Caenorhabditis elegans: one gene and its partners. The protein of the gene in region 3 interacts with the protein of the main gene of each other region in a pairwise test. Each region holds a gene or a part of one and is shown on either strand. Other genes may lie near its edges. The genes, in order: elt-2, mab-5 and F21A9.2.

Evidence for each region.
Region 1: the proteins of F21A9.2 (region 3) and elt-2 interact in a two-hybrid assay, tested with the Caenorhabditis elegans proteins (one large-scale study listed by BioGRID).
Region 2: the proteins of F21A9.2 (region 3) and mab-5 interact in a two-hybrid assay, tested with the Caenorhabditis elegans proteins (one large-scale study listed by BioGRID).

What each region holds. Positions count from the first base shown.
Region 1 is NC_003284.9:10,479,150-10,482,906, forward strand, and holds the start of elt-2 (Transcription factor elt-2), read left to right. Parts: upstream 1-2,090; 5' UTR 2,091-2,091; coding exon 2,092-2,233; intron 2,234-2,283; coding exon 2,284-2,382; intron 2,383-2,425; coding exon 2,426-2,552; intron 2,553-2,596; coding exon 2,597-2,737; intron 2,738-2,831; coding exon 2,832-3,000; intron 3,001-3,045; coding exon 3,046-3,143; intron 3,144-3,189; coding exon 3,190-3,563; intron 3,564-3,727; coding exon 3,728-3,757. UniProt on the Caenorhabditis elegans protein: Transcriptional activator that binds to the consensus sequence 5'-[AT]GATA[AG]-3'. Predominantly directs the transcription of intestinal genes such as ges-1, cpr-6, pho-1, ftn-1, vit-2 and lev-11, and itself.
Region 2 is NC_003281.10:7,781,727-7,785,483, forward strand, and holds the start of mab-5 (Homeobox protein mab-5), read right to left. Parts: upstream 1,729-3,757; 5' UTR 1,663-1,728; coding exon 1,519-1,662; intron 1,250-1,518; coding exon 1,167-1,249; intron 482-1,166; coding exon 378-481; intron 1-377. UniProt on the Caenorhabditis elegans protein: Transcription factor that binds to the promoter region of the transcription factor lin-39 to repress its expression in Q neuroblasts and thereby direct left Q neuroblast (QL) daughter cell migration.
Region 3 is NC_003279.8:3,707,309-3,711,065, reverse strand, and holds the start of F21A9.2 (C2H2-type domain-containing protein), read left to right. Parts: upstream 1-1,630; 5' UTR 1,631-1,845; coding exon 1,846-1,887; intron 1,888-2,284; coding exon 2,285-2,386; intron 2,387-2,574; coding exon 2,575-2,689; intron 2,690-2,847; coding exon 2,848-2,958; intron 2,959-3,004; coding exon 3,005-3,192; intron 3,193-3,238; coding exon 3,239-3,384; intron 3,385-3,757. Other genes in the region: F21A9.1 (PRELI/MSF1 domain-containing protein), read right to left, coding at 1-48.

The DNA of each region.
Region 1 (3,757 bases), on a different chromosome or scaffold from region 3:
TTATACAGAATTGATAATGTTATCTTCAATTGATTTCTACTTCTGAGCTACGGCGATACGAGGACGCATTCTCAACGATAATGTTGCCATTTTGTCCTGATAATTTTTTTACTGATTGTTTCAGAACACCCATAGTTTTTCTCTATTAAACGTTCATCCTTGACTTCCCCGAGTTTGCTGGCTGAATAGGAAATTTGAAGACAAAAAGGAAAGAATCGGCTCAAACGTCATGCAACTGATAAGGCGACCGTACTTCATTTCAAAAGAAGCTCACTTACTGAGCGCAAACATTGAGAAATGAGAGCAAAAGAAGTGGTTTTACAACATGCTAATGTTTTTAGACCTTGTACCCAATAATATTACTGTAGTATACAGTTCGGAGAGCATATGGTTGAAATCTTGAAATACCAATTTATCACTAGTTTGATTGTGTTATCGATGTATAAAGATATATTTTATCATTTTTGATTATTATCTGATATTGTGGGGTGTGAAGTAATATTATGTGCGTGTGTGGCTGATTATCGAAAAAAACTGAAAATTATCAATTTTTCTACAGGTTATCTTTTTTTGTTTTATTTTTCATTATTGTATTCTTCATACTCCTTATCCTGCCCGAATCACAAAAGTTCCAGACAACTTGAAGGTCGCATCACGTTTTGTTTATAAGAATGTTGAACTGGTCAGCTTTGGAGACAGAACTGTCCTCCAAATGTTGAATATGTTTCCGTAAAACACACTGTGTAACAAAAAGCGTACCCTTTGATCCGGTATTCTTGAAAAAAAACATAGAAGGGCGTACTTTTCATATCTCACAAATATGCGTTTTTTATTTTATAATAATATCATTTATTGATAATTATATGTATTTGTATGTTTTCTTGTCTTTAAAATTATGGTGTGACATCACAGTTTAAAAATTATATGAAAACTAATGAGTGAAAAGTTAAAAATGTATAGTTTGCCGTATTTTCTCCATTAGTATTGTATTCAAAACTTATTTCCAATTGGTGAGCACTATAAACTTTGTAGGGTAATTGAGGTTCAATACTAATTTTTGAATATCTAGCTTTTGACAAATTATTCAAGTTTTGACAATGATGCCTTATCAAATTAAAAAAAATTACCATAAATTCTTGAAAGCTTTTGATTTTGTTTCACTCTGTGAAGGATAGTAATTTATCAACATTTTAACTAGATACATCTGTTCTGGCAATAAATTAAAGCAAGACTATTACTATGTGCAGTATTAATAGCTGCATTGCAACTTGTTTGAAAGTTTCAGTGAAAACGCAAAAACTCAATTTAATTTTCAAGTTTGTTTGCAAAATTGGATATATGTATCCATCAAAAGTCTGATCGCCTGTTTTATCTACTTATTGTCTCCTCAGTTGATTTTTTTGTAGTTATTATAAACGCTACTTTGAAACCAATATTTTCTTCCTCATTCCACTTTTTTCAATTACCAACTACCGTACATGCAATGATGGGCGGACCCGAGTCCCATGTTTGGCTGGAAGTGGGTGGTTGTCTGCGTATATGAGCGACAGAGGTCGGGGCTGAAACTGATAAGAATAGTCGACACTAACGCCATAATCGCTAGCCAGCCATCATGCACACCGAGCTCGGTGTGCACACCATCTTTCTTTTCAAACCAATACGCTTTGTGCCTTCATTGACAATTTTCTTTTTGATAAAATCAGCCTATCTATACTTCCCAATCATTTTTAGTCTTATCGTTGAACAGCTATCGAGGTGCCACTGTTTTCACTGATATCTTCTAAGTTACTATGGCATTAACATCTTTGTGTTCTTATTTTATGGGTTATTTTAATTAATTTTTGCAGTTAATTTTTGGAATGAGCAAGAAAATGTTAATTGTAATATCTTCGTCTGAAAATTGTCTTCAAATAGTTTTAATTTTAAAGGCAGTATTTAAGAAAATACACTTCTCGAAGCATTTTTGAATTTTTGAATTTTTAAACTGCTTGATGTTTTAGGTGCCACTGTTTTCATTGATAAGTTTTGATGTATAAATGCTTGATTTTCTTGGCATTCTAATAAAATAGAAACTAGAAAATAGATTATAGAATGGATAATAACTACAATGATAATGTCAACGGCTGGGCCGAAATGGAACCATCTCAACCAATGGGAGGTCTGCGCCTACCAACTCAGAACATGGATCCACCAGAGCAAAATAATGAGTCACAATTGAGTGAACTACCGAGAAGTAAACAAAACACTGAAATGCTTGTGGATTATAAAATTATAAAATTTCAGTGAAAATTGATAATGATTACGCATCTCCAATTGAACGGCAAAGTGTTATCACAAGTGGCACAAATAACTATGAGCCGAAAGTGGAAACTGTTACATCATGTAAGTGTGAATTCAAGTTATTTGGATTAATTCTTCCTTTTAGTTTTCCATACTGGCATAGACTACTCAAACTTTGGAATGTTGGACCAAACTACCATGCAACCGTTTTATCCTCTTTACAGTGGAATTCCCGTAAACACTCTTGGAACTTTTTCGGGATATACAAACTCGTAAGTCATGTTTTCAAGTTCTTACTTTCATATTCAAACTTTAGCATATACGACAAACCCTCTCTGTACGACCCCAGTATTCCTACCATTAACATCCCTTCTACTTATCCAACTGTGGCTCCAACTTACGAATGCGTCAAATGCTCACAAAGTTGTGGGGCCGGGATGAAGGCAGTAAACGGAGGGTAAGCTAGAAAAATTTCGATGACTCAATAAACTACCGGATTAATATGTGCCTGTACACTGTTTGGAAATAAACTACAACGAATAATTTTCTAGAATGATGTGCGTCAACTGTTCAACACCAAAAACCACGTATTCTCCTCCAGTCGCGTATAGCACTTCTTTGGGACAACCCCCGATTCTGGAAATACCTTCAGAGCAGCCAACTGCTAAAATTGCCAAGCAATCCTCTAAAAAGTCAAGTAGCTCAAATAGGGGGTCAAACGTAAGTTAAAGTTCGTTTGCAACAGTGTACAACAAATCAATACAGGGATCTGCGTCCCGTCGGCAGGGACTTGTGTGCTCCAATTGCAATGGTACCAACACAACTCTCTGGAGAAGAAATGCTGAAGGAGATCCGGTCTGCAAGTGAGTTTTTTTTTTTTTTTTTTTTTTCTAATGGTTTGTTTTTCAGTGCTTGCGGGCTTTACTTCAAACTCCATCACATCCCTCGGCCGACCTCAATGAAGAAAGAAGGTGCTTTACAGACAAGAAAGAGAAAATCAAAAAGCGGAGACTCTTCCACACCATCAACGTCACGGGCCCGAGAAAGGAAGTTTGAGAGAGCCTCTTCTTCGACCGAAAAGGCTCAAAGGTCATCTAACCGGCGTGCGGGAAGTGCAAAAGCAGACCGAGAACTGAGCACTGCTGCCGTCGCAGCTGCGACTGCCACATATGTGTCACATGCCGACTTGTATCCCGTTTCCTCAGCTGCCGTCACCTTGCCAGATCAAACGTACAGTAATTACTATCAATGGAACACTGCCGCTACAGCTGGGTTGATGATGGGTACGTGATCAACTTTTATAAAATGAAAACTACTAACCTTGAAATAGTACTTAAAGTATGGTATTAATGGTGGATAGCGTTAATTACAACAAAAACATAACTTCATAATATTGCATTCAAGCCCTCTAAGATATTCAAGCTTTTCAAAGTTTATTTTATTTCAGTTCCAAACGATCAAAACTACGTGTATGCAG
Region 2 (3,757 bases), on a different chromosome or scaffold from region 3:
AGCGTGTATCATAAATAAATCAAAAAATTCCGTCCTTTTCCCGCCGCGATTTAGAGAAAAAGGATCCAAAAGAGACACCGACTTGTCGCCATATTTTTTGTTTTTCTCCTTCTTTTTCTCTTTAATATTATACCGCCATGAAAGTCTGAAGATAAGAATCGAAAAAGTGTGCCCCTCTCTCTAGGACCTCCCCTCTTGCGCGCATGTCTATCTTCACACCTATTTGGCGGTCATTACCGAGTAACAACCAATCCGAAATTACATTAAAATGTAGAAGAATGACCCATATGTTTGTCTTGTTTTGACATTTTTATGAGATCAAATAGTGAAAATGGAAATACGAGTTTAAAAGTGAAAATGAGAAACTGTAAACTAACCGCCCATCTTCATCCATGGAAATACTGGTTGCGAGATTGCTGGCATTGAAGTTCTAGTTTCACCAAAATTTGCAGATGTTGCTTGAAGTGGGTTATAGGCGAATCTGAAAATATTTTAAGTTGGATCCTAAATTTTGTGGTAAGTTAATTCGCTTATTTGAATATGGAAAAAAAATATTTCGAATTTCCAAATACTCTTATTCATCATTTTAATATGTTTTTGTTCCTGTCTTCAAGGCGACCTTTGCCTGCCTTGTTGCTCTTCTGCACGCATCCTGCCAAAGTTCCCTTATTCAAAACTTCAATCATTAATTAAAATAAGATAATGAAAAACCTGTGAGAAATTTACAACAATTGAGTTTTCATTTGAAAATGGCTATAGGCTTGATGATCGAAAATTGCTTTTTTTTTATTATGGAAAAATATTAAAGATAAAATATTCATGTTGAAATTCAAATGCATTAGAGAGTGCTTGTAAATAAAATTGGAGTGAACATATTTTTTTAAAGAAATCCGAAATCTTTTAAACATTTCCGAAAGACATATTTTAAAAAAACGAACTCAATGTTTTTGTTGCAATGAAACTATTGATTTTTTGGAAACCGGACTGAGAACTTCTTTCAAAAACTGAAATTTAAATTTTCTTGTTGATTTTTCTTTGAATCAATGTTAAAAAGGAAGTTGTGAAACCTGGAACGCTTAGCAAAAATCTTAAAATTTTACAGCAAACTTTGTTTTATTTCGCAACATTTTTTTCTCGCTCCAAAAATTTTATTTCAAGAAACTTACGGATTTGATGAATTATCCATCCAACCGGCAGCAAGCATATGTTTCATATTGTTCATGTAGGTGTGATTGTAGAGTTCGTAGGTCTGAAAATAGTTTGAAGTTTAGTAATGGGACGTTGCGAAATACTTTCAAAGTTTTTCAAAACAAGGGTGAATATTTCTTGATATTTTTAAATGAATTTTTTATTAATTTTTTAATCTGGAAAATTTGAAAACTATAGAGTATTTTAAAAATTGAAATTCATTTTTGTAGGGTTTTCCCCATATTTTCCGTAATTAATTTTCGACCCAAAATATTTGAACTTATTTCAACTAAAACCTAAAATTTTTCATTTAAACTCTGAAACACACACTTTCAAATTATTGGCAGCAGCAGCAGCGGCAGCACTAGACGATGCTGAAGCAGATGTGCCGGATGATGCGGATTGAGAAGAAGCCGTTGTGCCGGCGCCCGCCCAGTACGAATCGTCGCCTGTCCATCCAGGATACATGCTCATTTGCCGACGGATTGAGTTGAGGGGATGAGTAGATGCGTGATGGAAGACGGCAAAAAGGTGCGGATTTCTGAAATTGAAATGGTAATTGAGGGGTGAGAATATGGGAAGATAGAGAAAAAGTAGGGAGCACGGAAGGAGCATGGAAAGAGCAATGAGAGCAAGATGGAGGAAAAAATGGTGCCATATAGAATACAACTTGAATAATTGAGGAAATAATATATCAGGTTTGTTTCAACGTCATAAGTATAAAGCCCATCTCAGTGAACACTAAATAAGATAATTTTTCAAATCAATAAGCACAATAATATGAAAATTAATTATGACACATTAAGCTGTAGAAGGCAAGTTTTTAAAACTGTTAAAAATAATATATGGTGAACAACTGATTAATATTGTTTTAAAGTTATCAAATGATCAATTTAAAAGCGTTTATTCTATAACTATTTAATACCAAAAGTTGCAATTTAAACTATTTCTGATATTATGAAATATTTTCTATACAGAATGTTTTAACATTACGTTTTTTTCTAAAAGCAACATATTCGACAAAGTCAGTAATACTAAAAATAAAAACAATTACAAGTAAATAAAATGTTTATTTCTAAAGCTAGACATTTGATAAGAAATATCGAGCATATTTAAAGTGAAATAAATTGTCTAATGAAATTTATTTTGTTTTACCTTCACTCTAGAAGTTTATCAATAAAAATGGTAATAATGACTTCCATTAAACCAAATAAGCATTCCAAAACCCCTACAGTACTCCTCATTATTTGATAATCATGAGGTTTGGTCTATAAATATCTTTTAGTGACTAATGTCCATTACATATTACCGTATCAATTTATCATTTGTCACATTATCAATCTTTAATGCCATTACATTAAGCCCTTCTCTCTCTCTTCCAGTTTCTCTTTGGAACCTAATATTATAAAGTATCCAATGAGTCCCGTAACTAAAAACCAATAAACGGGGCATTGACGCATTAATTAAGATATATATTCGAATATAAAGAAGAGAAATCAATCGGAGAATTGAAATATGTTGAGGGCGCCTGATGAAATATTGGTGGGGCCCCCCGGCGGCCGACTGGTCGATGCGAACAACGTGTGAATGGGCGGAGTCTCCGGGCGTTGACGGGAAATGGGGAAACCAATCGGAGAAATTGGGAGGAGCATGAAAAGACTGGGAAGGCAATGATGAGTAGCATTTTATGGTAGAAATCATAATATTTTAGTTATTAAGATTCCAAGTCAAGAGCTTCTATTTAGCATTTGGTTTAGATGTCATTTACAATGGCATTTGAGAGGGCTTATCCTACAGAGATGACATCTTATTGTAGATTTGTGAAAATTGGAAAATATGATTCAAATAATGAGTTCTGGCATTTAATTTTCGAATGAAAATAAAAATTTTACGAAATTAAGCAAAAGTATAAATTAAAAAAATAATTCGATTAGAAGTTGTCATTTTTTCAAAATTAATATGGTTTTTTAAAAAATTTGTTTGATATTATATATTTAAATCTACAATTTAAAACAAAATGCTATATCTGTATTATTCAAGTCCCGAACTTGAAAAAATTGAAGTCTTGCAGAAAATTAGAAAGGTTAGAAAATGACATTTGTATGTTCAATGTATTTGGAACTCTTGAAACAAAGTAATCAAAAGAATCAAATGAAAAGGATCAAAATTTCTAGAACCGATAAAATATTAAAACGTTAAAAAACGTATCTGTTGAATAATAATAGCCCTTCACTATCTGAAAAATTGATTAGTCGTGAAAAGAGGAGATGGGAAAATTATCGGAAAATTAAAATTTCATGAAATGAAAAAATTAAAGTTAAAAAATTTGTGCACCCATCTACCGAAGATGTACCTAGTTAATAGAAAAATCAAAAGAAATAATTAAAATATGCAAAAAAGAGTGAAAATCAAATAACAACTTAACTCCGACCGTTTAATGAGTCATTTGTGATTTGAGTACATAAATATAATTTTAAAACCTTCGTTACCACTTTCAACTTTTTTTCACACACACTTTCTTCCATAAAACATATTGTTTCTAAAGGAGCAGTAGCATTCAAATTCTCCC
Region 3 (3,757 bases):
TTTTAAGAAAAACCCAAAAAATAGTAGGAATTCGGTGAAAAGATGCATTGTAGAACCCTCTCTGAACAATCCTTCTGTCCCGTTTCCGGTTACCTCATATTTTATAGTTTTATCACCGCTTTTCCTTTTTCCTACATTTCCTGAACCTTTTTTTGCTTTTCAGTGCCTCCTGCCACGTCATACATCTGCAATCAGCTGATGTTTTGCAATCAATCGGTGTCGTTTAGTTTTTTTAGTTGAAACTGATAAGAAACCCTATCAGCACATACTCCACTGATTCAATTCAACTGATATGATAATATCACACAGGCTCACTTTCTTTTTCCTCTTCCTCACATTTTCATCAGTAATAATACATTTTTATCACTTTTTTGAGTTTTAATTCGAAAAAAACCGGTGGCACTTTTGAATTTTTGACATTGCCACGTGGCGGCTTTTAGAGAGAACTGTGAGAATACATACTTTCAGTATTTTATTTTTTATAGTATGCACTATCCTGATTTTTCGTGAGTTTTTTTCTGAGAAAAAATTGGCACATGTTTTTGCGTTTCGGAAACTGTCGATAACTTGAATTTTGCATGAAAACCTTGATGGCCGAGATTTTCTCTCTCTCTCTCTCTCTCTCTCTCTCTCTTGGTCATGCAGTAAAACCGTCATGATTATTGTGCGGCCGCGGAAATGAAAGAAAAAACTCGGCCGCCGATTTGCTGCTACACGATCGTGCACGAACATCTTTTGAACTCTGCTTTGGGGTTTTTTCTCTTTCATTTAAAATAATTCCAATTGATATTATATTGATAAAAAAATAAACGCGTATTTAAGCGGAATGGCCTCGCTACGCGCAACCCATTGATTGAAAAAAAAAAACATTAATGAGTAACGCGTGGTGAGACCATTTCGCATAAATACGTGCGCCTTTGAAACCGTAGAAGAAGAAAATAAAGTTCGCTGTATAGCTATAGCGTGTATATAAGTGAATTGCACGGATAGGGCGCGAGAAGGGCGAAGAGAGAGAGAGAGAGAGAGAGAGAGAGAGAGAGAGAGAGAGGCGCCCCCGTCACGCCTCAACCTAGTGAAATGTCTACAGTCGACAACTGGGAACATCCCTACATGTATAGTTAAACTGAATCACAGATGATAAGAGATTGTGGTAACTGATTAAAGATAAAAATTGGGGTAGATAATGATCAGTAAGGAAGACGGCGATAATTGAGATATTCGGTAGGCAAAAGTCAATGTTATAATATTACTTTACTATATAGAGCTTTTAATTTTGAATCAGCCATCTATGAAAATATTCTAGAAACATCTATGTACCTTTAAACTGTTGAAGTGTAAGCACATTTAATACGCAAAAAAATAATTACCGTAGCTCAAATTATGCACTAAGGTAAAAGGCTTCAATCTGACAGTACTTTGGAGATTCTCATAAATAATTAATTTCAAAAACAAAGCAATATTCAGAAGTTTAAAACATTAGATTTTCTCTATTAAAATTTCATATTTTGCTCTTAAAGCACCTGCCAACTCAATGCATCACATTTCACGCGCAATGTTCACTACTCAACTTTTCCTCTCAAATCTCTACTAATCTAATATTCATTCCAACCGGAGATTCAATCTATTTCAGTTGTTCAGTCACTTCATCTGCTCTTCCCAATCTTCCTTTTGTCTTCTTCTTCTTCACCTTATCATCAAAATCTGTGTGACTCGGAGTGCCGGAGCACGCACAACTTGCTCTGCGCCCCGCGTTGTCCCTGAGATCTTATCGCTCACTCGAGCCCATCTTTCTTCGTCGGAAGCCTCTTCTTTCGTTTTCTCATTCGGCCACTTCATTTATATACAATGGATGTAAACCAATCGATTCTGCATAATACAATAGCTAGCGTGAGTTACAGTAGATTTTTTGATTTTTGCTTCAAACCCGGTCTCGACACTACAAATTTTTGTGAAATGCAAAAAGGTGTGCTCTTCTAATAAGTAATGTTATCTTGCACCTTTTTCTGACAACTTGTTGAAATTTGATTTGTTCTTATTTTTATTATCGGTTTTCTTATGAAAGGTGAAATTACAGTACAGTAAACTCAAAAGAATTAAGCGTTGCGAGACCCAAAACGCTACATTTGACAAACAAAAATATTGATTAATGAATAGGGAAATGATGATAAATATAAATTCAAAATTACAAAAATAACGCAAAAAAAATTAGAAAATTAAATTTACACATCGCGTAAAACTTTTTTTGTTGAATATTGAGGACTGAATTATCATCAAAAGTTTGCAGTCAATACGAAAACAAGTTATGACCGCACCAATCGAGTTTAGATGTGGCGATTGTGTTGGACCGTATTCTGTGAGCGGCAATGGACAACTGTTGAGGATTACTGTAAGTTAAAGCATATACTGTAAGTTATAGAAGTTGGCGCAATATCTGTAGATCAAAACTGGATTCTGACTACCGGTGGGTTCTCAAATTTGCGCGTAACTTTTGGCGCATTGAATTCTTCTGATTCGACAGACACAATACACCATATTCCCCGCACAAATGCACCGTAGAACCTCCTTAATTTCCAGCTCTCCAACTTCACCGGTGAATCGATGGGTTTCGAGATGGAATCGAATCCAGTGACGCGGAGAATTCAAGCAGCCCAAGGTCCACTTCTAGCTAATTGTGTCATTATGCAGACAGGTATGCGAGCCACACGACATGGCCTAGAAATTGAAAACTAGGCCACCCAAACGGATATTTTTGCACTCAAAGACAATTCATGTCCTGCCTAGCTTTCACTAATTAGTCCACCAAACGACTTTTTTGAAATTTCAACTTCACCTAGGCCAATGTTTCAGGTCCCGTGTTCACAATTCTTTTCACAAAAAATCTGACGACCGTGGAGCCACTTCGAGCCATTCTTGTCGCTGATATGAACTATCGTCTGGAGCAAGAAAAGTTGGAGAAAAGTGAGCTTTTTTGCTTTTCGAAAAGAACTGCATTTCGAAATTTCAGAACACGAATGTCCACACTGTCACGTGGCAAAATTCAACTCCCTTCACAATTTGAAAGTTCATGAAGATTTGTACTGTAGTAAGAAGAAACTCGGAAATGTAGTTGAAAATGCGGATTCTCGAAAACAACAAAATGTTATTTTGTTGCCAATGGCGTTTCATGACCTCTTTCAGCAGAATCCCTTTCAGGTAACTCAGTTTGAAAGCTAGTTGTTAATTTCAATTGAACTTTTAGGTAGTGGGTCCTGTTACTATTGGACGAAATTCGGCATTAATCAACTCAAATCCTTTGCTCATTCATAACAAGAGAAAATTGGAAATGCCAAACTTTTCAACTTCGAAACTCTCCGTGCAGATTCCTATTATCAATTTGGATGAGAAGTTGGTTTTTTCTTTTGCAACACAGTCTTATTATGCAAGCGCGCTCCACAGATAATTAAAAACGCTCCGCCCCGAAATGTGGGGTCCTGCACGTGGTGTCAAACAGTCTCATTGCACTTTGATCTACAAAAAATGCGGGAATTTTTTTCCGGAAAAAATGTGACGTCAGCATGCTCTTAATCATGCAAAATCAGATGAGATGTCTGCGTCTCTCCTCCCGCCATTTTTTGAAGATCAAAGCGAAATGGGACTTTCTGACTCCATGTGGTCCTGGTAGGAATTGACGGCAAAATCCAAACGTTTTCAACCATTTTTCGACTTTTTTGCTGTTTTTCATGATATGTATTCATGTCAAAATGATGTTTGAAGAATG